Linked DNA regions of Caenorhabditis elegans. The protein of the gene in region 2 binds, or shares a complex with, the protein of the main gene of each other region. Each region holds a gene or a part of one and is shown on either strand. Other genes may lie near its edges. The genes, in order: ify-1 and sep-1. A codon is read from its position in the direction of its gene.

What was found.
Region 1: the proteins of sep-1 (region 2) and ify-1 are in contact, whole or in part, in a cryo-EM structure (PDB 5MZ6), measured with the Caenorhabditis elegans proteins. Residues at the interface, in NP_491160.1 of Caenorhabditis elegans: Asn22 (codon at 6,013), Cys25 (codon at 6,004), Ile28 (codon at 5,995), Glu32 (codon at 5,983), Ile55 (codon at 5,914), Asp56 (codon at 5,911), Met57 (codon at 5,908), Asn58 (codon at 5,905), Lys81 (codon at 5,836), Arg84 (codon at 5,827), Thr85 (codon at 5,824), Cys87 (codon at 5,818), Lys88 (codon at 5,815), Ile91 (codon at 5,806), Arg130 (codon at 5,689), Asp144 (codon at 5,647), Thr145 (codon at 5,644), Leu146 (codon at 5,641), Arg217 (codon at 5,428), Ser218 (codon at 5,425), Phe219 (codon at 5,422), Ser220 (codon at 5,419), Leu261 (codon at 5,246), Arg268 (codon at 5,225), Asn269 (codon at 5,222), Arg270 (codon at 5,219), Ser277 (codon at 5,198), Gln278 (codon at 5,195), Phe279 (codon at 5,192), Glu296 (codon at 5,141); in NP_494931.1 of Caenorhabditis elegans: Leu118 (codon at 2,549), Ala119 (codon at 2,552), Ala120 (codon at 2,555), Asp121 (codon at 2,558), Ile122 (codon at 2,561), Glu123 (codon at 2,564), Asp124 (codon at 2,567), Asp125 (codon at 2,570), Met126 (codon at 2,573), Leu127 (codon at 2,576), Asn128 (codon at 2,579), Glu130 (codon at 2,585), Asp131 (codon at 2,588), Gln132 (codon at 2,591), Asp133 (codon at 2,594), Val134 (codon at 2,597), Val135 (codon at 2,600), Leu136 (codon at 2,603), Ser137 (codon at 2,606), Glu138 (codon at 2,609), Asp139 (codon at 2,612), Arg140 (codon at 2,615), Tyr142 (codon at 2,621), Gly143 (codon at 2,624), Asp144 (codon at 2,627), Val145 (codon at 2,630), Ile146 (codon at 2,633), Asp147 (codon at 2,636), Pro148 (codon at 2,639), Ala149 (codon at 2,642).

Annotation. Positions count from the first base shown.
Region 1 is NC_003280.10:5,053,374-5,057,192, reverse strand, and holds ify-1 (Securin-like protein), read left to right. Parts: upstream 1-2,013; 5' UTR 2,014-2,037; coding exon 2,038-2,104; intron 2,105-2,154; coding exon 2,155-2,378; intron 2,379-2,488; coding exon 2,489-2,932; 3' UTR 2,933-3,058; downstream 3,059-3,819. Other genes in the region: C27A2.12 (Histidine acid phosphatase), read left to right, coding at 21-113, 161-442, 492-641, 684-965; rpl-22 (Large ribosomal subunit protein eL22), read right to left, coding at 1,015-1,159, 1,206-1,330, 1,449-1,571; F33G12.6 (PPM-type phosphatase domain-containing protein), read right to left, coding at 3,533-3,674, 3,727-3,819. UniProt on the Caenorhabditis elegans protein: Acts as a chaperone and as an inhibitor for separase sep-1. Plays an essential role in maintaining chromosome cohesion prior to meiotic and mitotic anaphase, in cytokinesis and in organizing the spindle and the centrosome.
Region 2 is NC_003279.8:3,432,458-3,440,194, forward strand, and holds sep-1 (Separin homolog sep-1), read right to left. Parts: upstream 6,087-7,737; 5' UTR 6,077-6,086; coding exon 5,333-6,076; intron 5,283-5,332; coding exon 5,123-5,282; intron 5,066-5,122; coding exon 4,666-5,065; intron 3,934-4,665; coding exon 3,708-3,933; intron 3,659-3,707; coding exon 3,536-3,658; intron 3,485-3,535; coding exon 3,183-3,484; intron 3,133-3,182; coding exon 2,238-3,132; intron 1,884-2,237; coding exon 1,705-1,883; intron 1,655-1,704; coding exon 1,559-1,654; intron 1,507-1,558; coding exon 843-1,506; 3' UTR 701-842; downstream 1-700. Other genes in the region: neto-1 (CUB domain-containing protein), read left to right, coding at 359-601, 653-672; nefr-1 (Protein kinase domain-containing protein), read left to right, coding at 6,651-6,722, 6,782-6,887; Y47G6A.13 (non-specific serine/threonine protein kinase), read right to left, coding at 6,980-7,053, 7,157-7,237, 7,289-7,676, 7,728-7,737. UniProt on the Caenorhabditis elegans protein: Cysteine protease, which plays a central role in homologous chromosome separation during meiosis I and in sister chromatid separation during embryonic mitosis.

The DNA.
Region 1 (3,819 bases), on a different chromosome or scaffold from region 2:
ATTTAAAAATTTAATTCCAGTATGTGAACACAACTTTATTATTGTCTGAACTATTTAATCAAACATTTACATGGGATAACATGTGGCAAGTTCATGATGCTGTTATGATTCAAGTACTTGGTCTACTTAATTTTAAAACCTTTTAAAATTTAATTTTCAGAAAATTCACTTTCCAGAATCTGTACTAAATCAAACATGGTATTCTGATGAATTCTTTGAGAATCTTGACGATTTAGAAAGACCTTCAAAAGCATTCGTTACGGGACTTTATGATCCGCCAATTGTTCAAGGCATCAATGTACGAAGAGAAATCTTAAAAACACGGGGTGGCCCAATGATAAACGATATATCTGCAAGAATGAGAACGAAAGCAACTTGTGCTAAAAATGAAGCCAAATGTGACAATTATCACAAAAATCTGAAATACTACGCTTACTCTACAGTAATCACAACTCCTCTGTACTTGTATAATAGAATCATTTTAATTTCAGCATGATCACACAGTATTCGCTCTCCTCGCTGTGTTAGGAATTGAGGATATTGTTGCAGGACCTGAGAAATATGGCGAGTGGCCTGACTATGCTTCAGATATCGCGATCGAACTGTTCCATAATAAAACGGACGAGAAGCCCTATTTCAGAGTATGTTTCGATTCATAATGCCATCTCATCGCATAATTGCAGGTGCTGTATCAGAAAAATGTTCATTCAACTTTCGAAACTGTCACGTCGAGAATCAAGGGATGCCGAGGAGAACAGTTCTGCGACATGCGAACATTCGAAAACAAAGCAAAGGAATCCCGGCCAGACCGACCCATCCACGAGTTCTGCGAAATACCACCAGGGGAGGATAACAGAGTTACAACCTGGATAAGAAAATTTTTGCATCAAAATTCCGATTTCGAATCATCTTCACCACTCATTCCCTACTGGTACTCGATAATAATCATATTGCTGTTTTTCTAATGAAGCCTGATTTGAAACAACAATTTATTCCAACAACAAAAAACCGAGTTTACTCGTGGTCGCTTCCTGCGTCCTCTCCGTCGTTGATGTGGAAGTATCTGACCTCGTAGGTGTTCTTGTTGACAGCGACCACACGGAGCCAATCACGGAGGGAGTTTCTCTTGAGGTACTTCTTGGTAAGGTACTTGAGGTATCTGAATATAAAAATATGAGAACAAGTTTGATTGAATAAAATGCTACCTCTTCGAGAATGGGACCTCGGAGACGACTGAGACCTTGGACTTGGCGACCTCGACCTTGACGTTGTTAGCGGCCAAATGTCCGGTCTTTCCATTGACCTTGATCTTCTCGTTCAAGAAGGCTTCCTGAAAACAACCGGGACTTACTAGGGACCAATATATACCCTAAGCCTGGTCTTGCGATAGAGACGGGAACTCTATCGACTTGATGAGGCTGATTAATTTTAAAAAGCCTACAACTTACAAGATCTTCGATTCTGAGAATTCCATCCTCAACTGGGTTCTTGCACTCAACGTTGAACTTGAGGTGCACCTTCTTCTTGCGAAGAGCCTTCTTGGCCGACTTGGCGTGTGGCTTTGGGACCATGATTACCTGAAAGTAAAAATTGAGATCTTACAAAATATTATCGGCATCTTCAGGAATAAACGATCATGAAAATAACAAAAAACGATTTCGAAAGCTACACAATATTAAATTGTTTTAAATCTGCTGAAAAAAGCTTGCGTGAAGGTAAAACCCAGAAAAGAAGCAAATTTAGGCCGAGAACTCTACTCATTTTCCAAGTCGGCGTCCCAACACGACAATAACTACGGTCACACTCGTTTCAGCTGTGCGTACCTCCCTCTTATGCATCTGCGCTCTATGGCACTTCGAAGACGCCGGCTAGTTTAAATCATTGATTTTTCCTTTTCACATTTTGTTTCCATCTTTTTGCGGCAAAACGTGAACAATTTAAATTCTTTTGCATCATCGAAACAATTTTTGTATTCATTCCTACTAATTGAAAACTGGCATTCGTACTTTCTAGCTATTCATACTCGCACAAGTCAAAATGGAGGATCTAAACTTCGAAGAAAGAGGAAGCACCCAGATACCAGCCTCCTTGCAACAACACTTCAGTAAGTTTTATTTTAATATATTTATTTTACTTATAACGTCTTTGTTTTAGGTGCAAAGCTAGGCAGACAAAATGAACTTGAAAAGACACCTTCTCGTGGCGGTTTGGGGCTGGTTGTAAACTCGTCAAAAACTCCTGGCGGAAAATCGCTTCAGAGCTTGGCATCGGCTTGTAAAGTGCCACCTTCAACCAAGAAGAACACTATTCCAATTGCTTTTGAATGTTATGAAGATGAGACAGATGATCAGATTGCCGATGTGGCCACCATTAAAAAGGTGATGTTTTCTTCCAGCATAATTATTAAAAGAAAAGAAAACTACGGAAGTTTTAATCTTAAAACAATTAAAAGTATTGCTTCATAATTTTTATTTTCATCATTTTCTAGACCGAAAAACATCCATGCTCTCCAATCGACACTGCAAACCGATGTGAAACATTCGATTCGCTAGCTGCTGACATTGAGGACGATATGCTTAATTTGGAAGATCAAGACGTCGTACTTTCTGAAGATCGGCCATATGGAGACGTTATCGATCCGGCAGAGTCTGAAGCAGAAGCTCTTGCTGAATTGGGAGTCGAGGAATGGGACTCATATCCACCAATTGATCCAGCTTCAAGAATTGGCGACGATTTCAATTATGTGCTCAGAACAGAGGATTTCGCGGAAGAAGGTGATGTGAAACTCGAAGAAACTCGCCATCGGACTGTTATTGCTGATATTGATGAAGTGAAAATGAGTAAGGCTGAAAGAAATGAACTCTTTTCGATGCTTGCGGACGATTTGGATAGTTACGACCTCCTCGCCGAAGAAGCCAACCTTCCCCTGTGATTTCCCACGACGTCAGCCTCTTCTACCTGTTTTACATATATTGGCGAAATCACCCTCGCCCCACAATCATTCCCCCCACTGGTAATTTTCTATGTCCATTCTCTGAACAATGAAACGGTATATCAATGTATTTTATAACTGTTTCAGATGTTTTTGTCTTATAAAAAGTTTTCCAGGAGCTTTTCCCGAAAAATATGTACGGAAAGACGTTTGATGTCTACTATGAAAAGACATAGAAAAAATTCGCGAAGCATTTTTGGAATTTGTTTGAATTAATCTAATATTCCAGGTGTTGGATTGAAGTATTTATTTGACAGAAATTCGACATTTACCGAGGCAAAAACGATTGAGAGGAAATTTGTTTCAAATTATTTAATTCACTCGTAAGCGAAAAAACGGATGTTTTCCGTTTCGAAAGAAATGAATACAAGAAAAGACAAATTTGGCAAAAATTGTAATTTTCTTTCCTATAAATGAATGACTGCGCAGTGATAAAATATCGAAAAGATCGGGTGAAAAACATGGAAGCAAATTATATTCATCGGGATAGCAAAATCTCAGTGGTAGGATAAGTATGGAAATATACATTTGACGAGGTGTTTAGACATTGGTGGCTTTCATTGAGATTTTCATAGTGGATTGGTCAACATTGGATAATGTACGATTCGATCCCAACATGCTTCTGATTCGTTGGCGAAGTGTGTTACGATCGGCATTTGCGGAACTCAAGCTGACATCACCTCTGAAAAAATTAAACTTTGTTTGGAATTTTCAAAATTAAAATGCAAGAAAACCTTATGTCGTCAGCAGTTTTTTGATCTTCTTTCTTGGTCACAAGCTTCTTGAGCCATTGGACATCAACTCCCAAAGTATGACGTCCCATGGAT
Region 2 (7,737 bases):
GCCCCGCCCCAAAACGTTGGGTCTCGTTAGGAAATTGCTGGGAAAATCGTAAATTCGAACGTTTTCAATTAGTTTCAGCATTTTTGGGCACGTTTGTCAGATTTTCTGCAGTTTTTTATGATTTTTAAGCCGAAATTGATTTAAAAATATTTATTCAAAAATAATATTTTTCGACCTAAAAATCTTCAAATACAATGGAAAACATAACAAAAAAGACGAAAATTGCTTGAAACTAATTGAAAACGTTTGAATAATAATAATAAATACCTAACGAGACCCAACTGTGGCCGTGAAGCGCGTTTGCATATCGAGCGTAATAAAAATTGCGCTTAAGATCAGCTCAAATTCAAATTTTCAGTGAAAAATTGCACCCAAGAAGGTCTTTTCGCGTGTGGAGACGAGAATTGTGTCCCAAAATCGTTGGCGTGTAACGGGCGGCCCAATTGCCCGTACGGACGTGACGAACGTGTCTGCTCCGTCGGTCAGGACACGATTTTCAGCTTTTTGGCAAGCGGATTTGCTCCGCTTGTTTCGATTATTCTTATTGTGCTCATTGTGGTCTCACTCATTTGTTTCTACACTATACGCAAAAATAATTGTGGTAGGTGGCCCCGCGGATGGCTTTTCTCAATTTAAAGTGCCATATTTCCAGCTCTTCCTCCGATCCTCTGATGTCACTGAAAGCTGGTCCAAAATGAATAAATCATTCAATCATTTATTTTACACGATAATAATAAAACTTAGTTGACTAGTAGTGTCAAAGAATACAATAAGAAACCCGGGAGATAAGCACCTGTGCAAAATAAAATAACGATCCTTAAGATCCTTCGGGTCAGATTATATTACAAATTTCGGGATCTTGATGGAGTTCGGGCACTTGAGCGAGTTGTTCTAGTCGTCGGTGTTGCTGGAATAGGTGGTGCAACCAGCGGTTTCAGCTGCCGCGTTGTCGACCGTTTCGGAGCTTCATCATCTTCCTCTTGGAACGTTTTCACCTGACGAGGTGTCTTCAGAACTCTGCTTGGCATCCTTGCTCGGCTTGGAGACTTGTTCTCATTATTTGAGAAAATTGGAGTCATTGGAACAGACTTCGATGTAACAAATTCTTGTTTCGGTGTCTTCGGCACAGTTTCCATTCGCATCGAAGTTCGGGCTGAAGTCTTCGGAGTCTGCGGCAAGTTTCTCTGATCCTTTTCCACGAATGGCGTCGTTTGCTTTGCAACAACTGGCAATCCATACATCACCACAGCGGCACCGGTCAAATATTTCAGTCTGGCTTTTGATCTGGCCTCGTGCATAGCCTCCGATAGCTGACGAAGCTTGTCGATTCCGGTGAGCGATTTGGAATCTTCGAAACAATCATCGATCATTCGAATCAAGAAACGATCGATTTCACCATCAGTGACAGTCCATAAGCATCCAACGATCAGTGGACACTTTGCCATCGCGTAGTCCAGAATCGCCGTTTTTCCATCAAAACCGAGAGCTTGTGGAATTGTTCGGACACTAAAATAAAGGCAAAATTAGTTGAAAATCAATCAAAATAAATTATATTAACCTTCCACAACCCATCAGCAAACTGATCGCATTACACGTCGACTGCTTGAGCACAGATCGTGGCATAACCGAAGATCCAGAGCCATGTCCAATAAAGCTGGAAATTTTTTTTGTTGATATTCAATCCAGCTCAATCTCAGAACTTACAAAAACGCATCGCGTTGAGACAACGCGGCGCTAATCTCATTCGATTTTGGCGCCGAGCCAACAGTTCCTTCCCAATTGAACTTATTGATATATTCGACCATTCGTTTTTGTGTTTCGCCCAAATTGTTGTCAGGATCGAGAATGTAGTAGGCGTTTTGTACGTCGATTTGTAGAGGAATCTGAAGTTAAGAAATAATTTTTTTTTCAATAAAAACTTATATGGAAAGTATTTCAGCTGGTAATGCGTATTGCGCAGCATTGTTGATGCGCAAAATATCTCGTAGGGAAAACTACAGTAACTCTTCGAATGGCTACTGTAGCGCTTGTGTCGATTTACGGGATCTCGATTTTTGAAATGAATTTATTTTCGAAACCAAAAATCTAGAAAACAAATCGACACAAGCGCTACAGTAATCATTTAAAGAATTACTGTAGCTTTCCCTACGAGATATTTTGCGCATCAAATAGGTTGCGAAATACGCATTTTCAGAATTTTTGTGTATTCTGGTAATATTTTCCATTCAAGATCATACCTGTTTCTCCTGACTTTTCATTGCTTCCAACTGACTAAAAGTCGAGTGAATCGATACTTGACGTCCCACATATGGATACTCATCGAAAATCGGCAATCGCTCCCAACAGAATTGAGAAAGATGGGGACAGATGACAAGGTACGTGTACTTCTTTTCCGTAACAATCGAATCATCCTGATTCATTACTTCAACCGAATTCCTGTGCATCAGCGGCAGGAACGATTTGAACTTCTCATCGGTAGTTCTCATCTCACAGAATCGAAGAATCAGCGCTTCCCAGGATTTCGCATCCATCAACTTTGACTGATATACCATCTCCTTGGCCTCTCCCAGAAGGAGTCCTCCTTTCGACAACTTGTGGATTTTAATTGCAAGTTCTGCCGCTTTCGGGCCCAACTGTCCAGACGGCATCAGAAGACTCGCCGCAACACCTAGGAAATGCTTCTGAACCTCGTCAACAAACGTCATCATTCTACCATCCACAATTTTCCGTCGTTTCCAAAACTCTTCTGGTGTAATGTCTCCGGGATACTTTGCTATCATCTCGTCTTCATCCAACAAAAACGTGAATTTATCCATCAATTCGACGGCTTGAGAGTAGTGTGCCAGTGGCATGATGATCGGATCACGATCCGCGTGCAGTTTCACCAAATAAATCGTCTTATCATCGGCCATCGCAATCTGTACAAGCGTCATCTCGTCTGGCATCGACTGTACACACGTTTTGAAGCGATCATGTCCCGACATTGTCACCAATCCTCTCTTGCACTTCTCAAGTCGGCTCTGTACAGCGTTACGAGCTCCGATCTGTGTTGACTCGGCCCATGCGTACGCAGCCTCCCAAGGATCACGTGATGTTCTTCCGACGTAGGCGAACAAGCGGCAACGCCATTCTCTGGAAAATTTTTGAAATATATATTCATTTTTTAATTCTAAATTTCAAACCTGTATAGAATATGGCCGTAGTGGTTCATCTCGTTCCGCATGGCAAGCCGAACCTTCTCGAAGCGTTCCTTATCGAAAGGCTGAAGATTCTTCTCCAGTTTCTCAACTTTCGGACGACGTCCGAACGGAGAAACCGCGCGAAGAATGTCGACGGCACAATCGATCGTTGCCTTGACACGTGGTTTCCGGATCGTTGGCCGCATCCAGCTATAGTTGCATTCCATGGGAAACTCGAGTTGTCGTCCAAGTTGTGTCACTGCGAGAATCATATCGGTTGTTCGTTGTTGAAGATATCTCACGATCTGAAAGATGAAATTTCGATTTTCCCATTTTCCAAATCAAATATTTTATACCTTCAACGCGTTGTTGAAAATCTCCATCGTATCCTCGTCAGCACTTTCTTTCGAATCCAACTTTTTCGTCAGCCACCGGATCACACACATGCCGAAAATCTCGTTTTGAATGATATTCGGTCTCTGCAATAAGTTTGTATTTTATTGTTTTTGAATTTCCAGAGCAACCCACCGGCCTCACACTCGAGTCCCGATGCATCAGAACCTGACTAGACATTCCACGCTCTCTGATTCTCGCGAACTCGTCGTTGAAATGTTTGATGGAGAGTTGCGAGAAATCCGAGTGAATTGCGTAGGACATCATGTATTCGGCGGCGAATGAGCTATGCAGCGGGTAAATCGTGCAGACATTGCAGACGCAGGATCGGGTGATCGGATGGAATGATTGTTCATCGAGTCTGGAAGAGTTAATTGAATAATTTTATATTATGGGAGCGGCTTTCGTGTGATGTCTCAGAAAAATCGCTCGGTAGAATTTGATTTTTAGAAAAGCGGCTTTTTCAACACTTTTAAGCAATTCAGGTCATTCTAATGAAGGGTGTCGGTTTTTCGATTTTTTCAGAAAATCGAAAAACGAAAATTTTTCGATTTTTTCAGAAAATCGAAAAACGAAAATTTTTCGATTTTTTGATTTTTCAAAAATTAGCTTTATATTTTGGCTATTATTCTTCTTTTTAGAAGAAACTTGTATGTTTTTTTTCTAATAAATATATGCAAAAAAAATCATAGGTATTTTATGGTTAATTTTCTGAACATATTTTTGCGATTTTTCGATTTTCCAGGGAATCGAAAAATCGAAAATTTTCGTTTTTCGATTTTTCGATTTTCACTGAAAAGTATCGAAAAATGGCACCCTTGATTCTAATTCAATTGAGCCGCGACGCGACACGCAAAGCGCCGTAAATCTACCCCGGCCGGGGCCGAGTCCAAATGGCTTAATTCGGAAAATTCTTACATTTAAAAATTTGGGGAAGCCTGAAGCGCGTGATTCAGCTCGATAAAATCGAGGGGAAATTGATACGTTATTTTTAAGAATGTGGAAAACAGTTAAGCCTATTTTTTCTTGCGCGCCGTCTCTGTAGGGTCAAATTCTATTCTGAATCTAAATATTCCAGCAATCCAATTCTCACAATTCGAGATCTCCCAACAGATCAGCCAGATCAGGTCTCATCGTGTTCTGTTTCTCCGATACACTACTCCCTGCCATCGGTGTATGAGCTCTCGAAGTGGCTCCCGTCTCCTTCGGAGTGCTACACCGAACAATTATCGGATTAGACGACAGCAAATTAACACACGATACTCTCATTAATTTCGCGTTCTTCTCACTTCCGGCTTCTTCGATGATACTCGAATAGTAGGCTAATGTGTTGGTTGTCTGAAGAACTCGAAAGAATGAAGCCGATTTTAATGCGACACGAAGATTCAGAATCATTGCCGACATCGAATCACGAGTTTGGGCGGTGGTGACGTTGACGAGAGCACACTCCCGACGCATCTCAAAGTGCCAAGCGATTGTACTGCCAATGTGCACTGAAAATGTAGAAATTGTGTTTGAAATTATATATTTTTTTTTTCAACAATTTATACCATAATAATTGCTATCTTCTTGATGCCCGTCTAGAAATGGCCAAATTGATGCATTAACCGAGTTGTCGAATTGAGAGCTGGCGAGGCCAGGAATTCGATTACGCACAAGTGAATCACTTTTTAATGCTGCTTCTTGAATATGGGACACACGATCCGGGAACTGAAATAATTATAAAATATATTTTAGAACACAAAACCATCGCTTCATACCTCACACTCCCTGAGTGCGGATCCAACGGGAACATTGCTCAACGTTGAGCACAACCAAGAGACATAAGAAGCCAACTCGTATCTCGAAAATGAGCGAGTAGGATCCGATTTGACTTTATCGCGAAGCTTCATCAGCTTTTCGAGCATTTCCACGCGATACTCTGACTTTTTCAGGTAGTTCATCGCGAATTCGGTAGCCGAGAACATGTCTTTCGAGCTTTTATCCATTTTCCACGTCTTCAGCTTCTTCTCAATTAGCTCGGTCTCGCCGAGAAACATCAACCATCGAAGAGCAGCTTCCTTGGCCAGAGTGTCGTCTGATAGGTCGATGTAGTCGAGCAGGCACACGACTGCTCTGCACAGTTCTCCGTTGTAAAAGTAGAAAAAGCAGAGTTTCGCGGGAATACTCGCGAAAATCTCTCGATCTTTGCTCCGACACTCCATCGCCTCCTTTCGTAGAGTTTGCCACGTGATGAACATTTTGCATGCGGTTCGTTGATACTTCGCAAGTCCTTGAAAGTATTCGGACGAGGCGTAGTATGAGGTGATTCGAGCCAATTTGCTCAGCGAGTTCATGTCAATCGGTCCATTGACGCCGAATTCGGCGATAAAAAGCTCGGAAATCTCCTGTTGCAACTCGGCAGTTTGTTCGGCAAACCCGATCACCGTGCAGCTCACATTTTTGCGTAGCTCATCTAGTTTTTCGATGTGCTGCTTGTCAACTGACTTGTTTGTGATCTTCATGAAAGTTTATCTAGAAAAATTAAAATTAAACTGTTTTAATGGAATTAACATTATTACATACATAAAAAGCAAGTTTTTTGATTGATTTTCATTAAAAATCGAGGAAAAATTGAAAATGAAAGGGTTTCAACGCACGTTATCTTCTAAAAAATTTAAAAAATTTTCTTCTAGATGATACGCTTCACATACGCGACGCGTAACATTGGAGCAACGTTGTCACTTTTTCTTAAAAATCTCTTATAAGAGTTGGCACGGTGCCAGATCCGGAATTCCACCAGATCTTGAATTAAAATAAGTTTTTTTGCAAGTTTTAGCAAGTTGAAGCAAGTTTTTTTATTGATTTTCACCGGAAATCGAGGAAAATTGAAAATGAAACGATTTTCGAGGCAAAAATAAAAAATTTCCCTCCGATTTTGAAGTCCGTGAATGCGCGTGCGGTGCAACTGCGTACAAAACACCAAACTTTACGACAGTGCGGTAAATTCTACTTTTCAAAGTTTGAGCCCCAAAATTCGTTTAATTTTTGTTTAAAACTTTTCTTGTTTATTGAATTATTTACATTTTTTCAGTCGACATGCCGCGTATCAAGCAAGCGCCGACAAAGAGACACTCGTTTAAGCGAATGGAATCGAGAGAAGCCGACGAGGTTCTTAATAACGATCCAAAAAATGAATTTAGAAAAAAAAACCAACAACTTTTTTCCAGAGTTTTCTCGACGAGGAAGAAATCGAACGAATAAAGGAGGAACTTCAACGAGTGCAAAACGAGAAAAAGAAGCACATTCAGAGAATGCAAGCTCGACTCGAACAAAGTAGGCATTTTCCTGAATTTTTTCCCCTCACAAAAAACATTTATTGTCATTAAAGTAGTGAGAATTCTTCGGGAGAATGATTTCAAGTCGCATCAGAAGGGAATTTTGACTTCGGTGAAGTTTCGAGGAGCAATTGCCGGATATACGACGAATTGAAGCTCGTCTCCTGTAAAATAGAGATTTTTGATTGAACAGACTCAAAATGTGCTCAAATTAACAAATTTCGTTCATTTTAGCCCATTTCGAGGTTATAAACATGAAATTCTCACTTGGCAACGCCTTCTTCGAGTTGTATTCCATTTGATCGCATTCAATGGCAGTTTCCATGTCGATTGAATCTCCCGTAACAGCTGAAAAGCAAGTATAAATGTCAATTTCTGTCGGGAAAAAAATCCACTCACAATTTCCCGCTTTCGCCGGAGTCCCATACTGCGAGTTTTCGTTAACCTCCGAACGACTGCTAGCCATATCTTTTGCACTGATCAACTTGTTGCCCTTATCCACATTCAACGTATCCTGCTGCTGTTCACCGGAACTGTTATCCTTCACCTTCTTCTGCTCATCAACCTCTCCAGCAACTTCCGACTCGGCTTTCGCTGACTTTGCTGGAATCGCAGTTTTCATCGAATCGGCAGACAACTCATTCTCCTTATTTTCCTTTTCCTTTTTCTCCTTCTCTTCCTTCTCTTTTTCCTCTTTCTCAGCTTTTGCCATTCTTTCCATCTCGTCGTCTTCCCATTCATATGGATCCAGAAAGTTGATCTTCAGTCTGGTGATAGCCGCCATCAGCTGAAAAATTTCTTAATTGTTAATCGGATTCTATTTCGAGAAAAACGCTACCAGATTATAA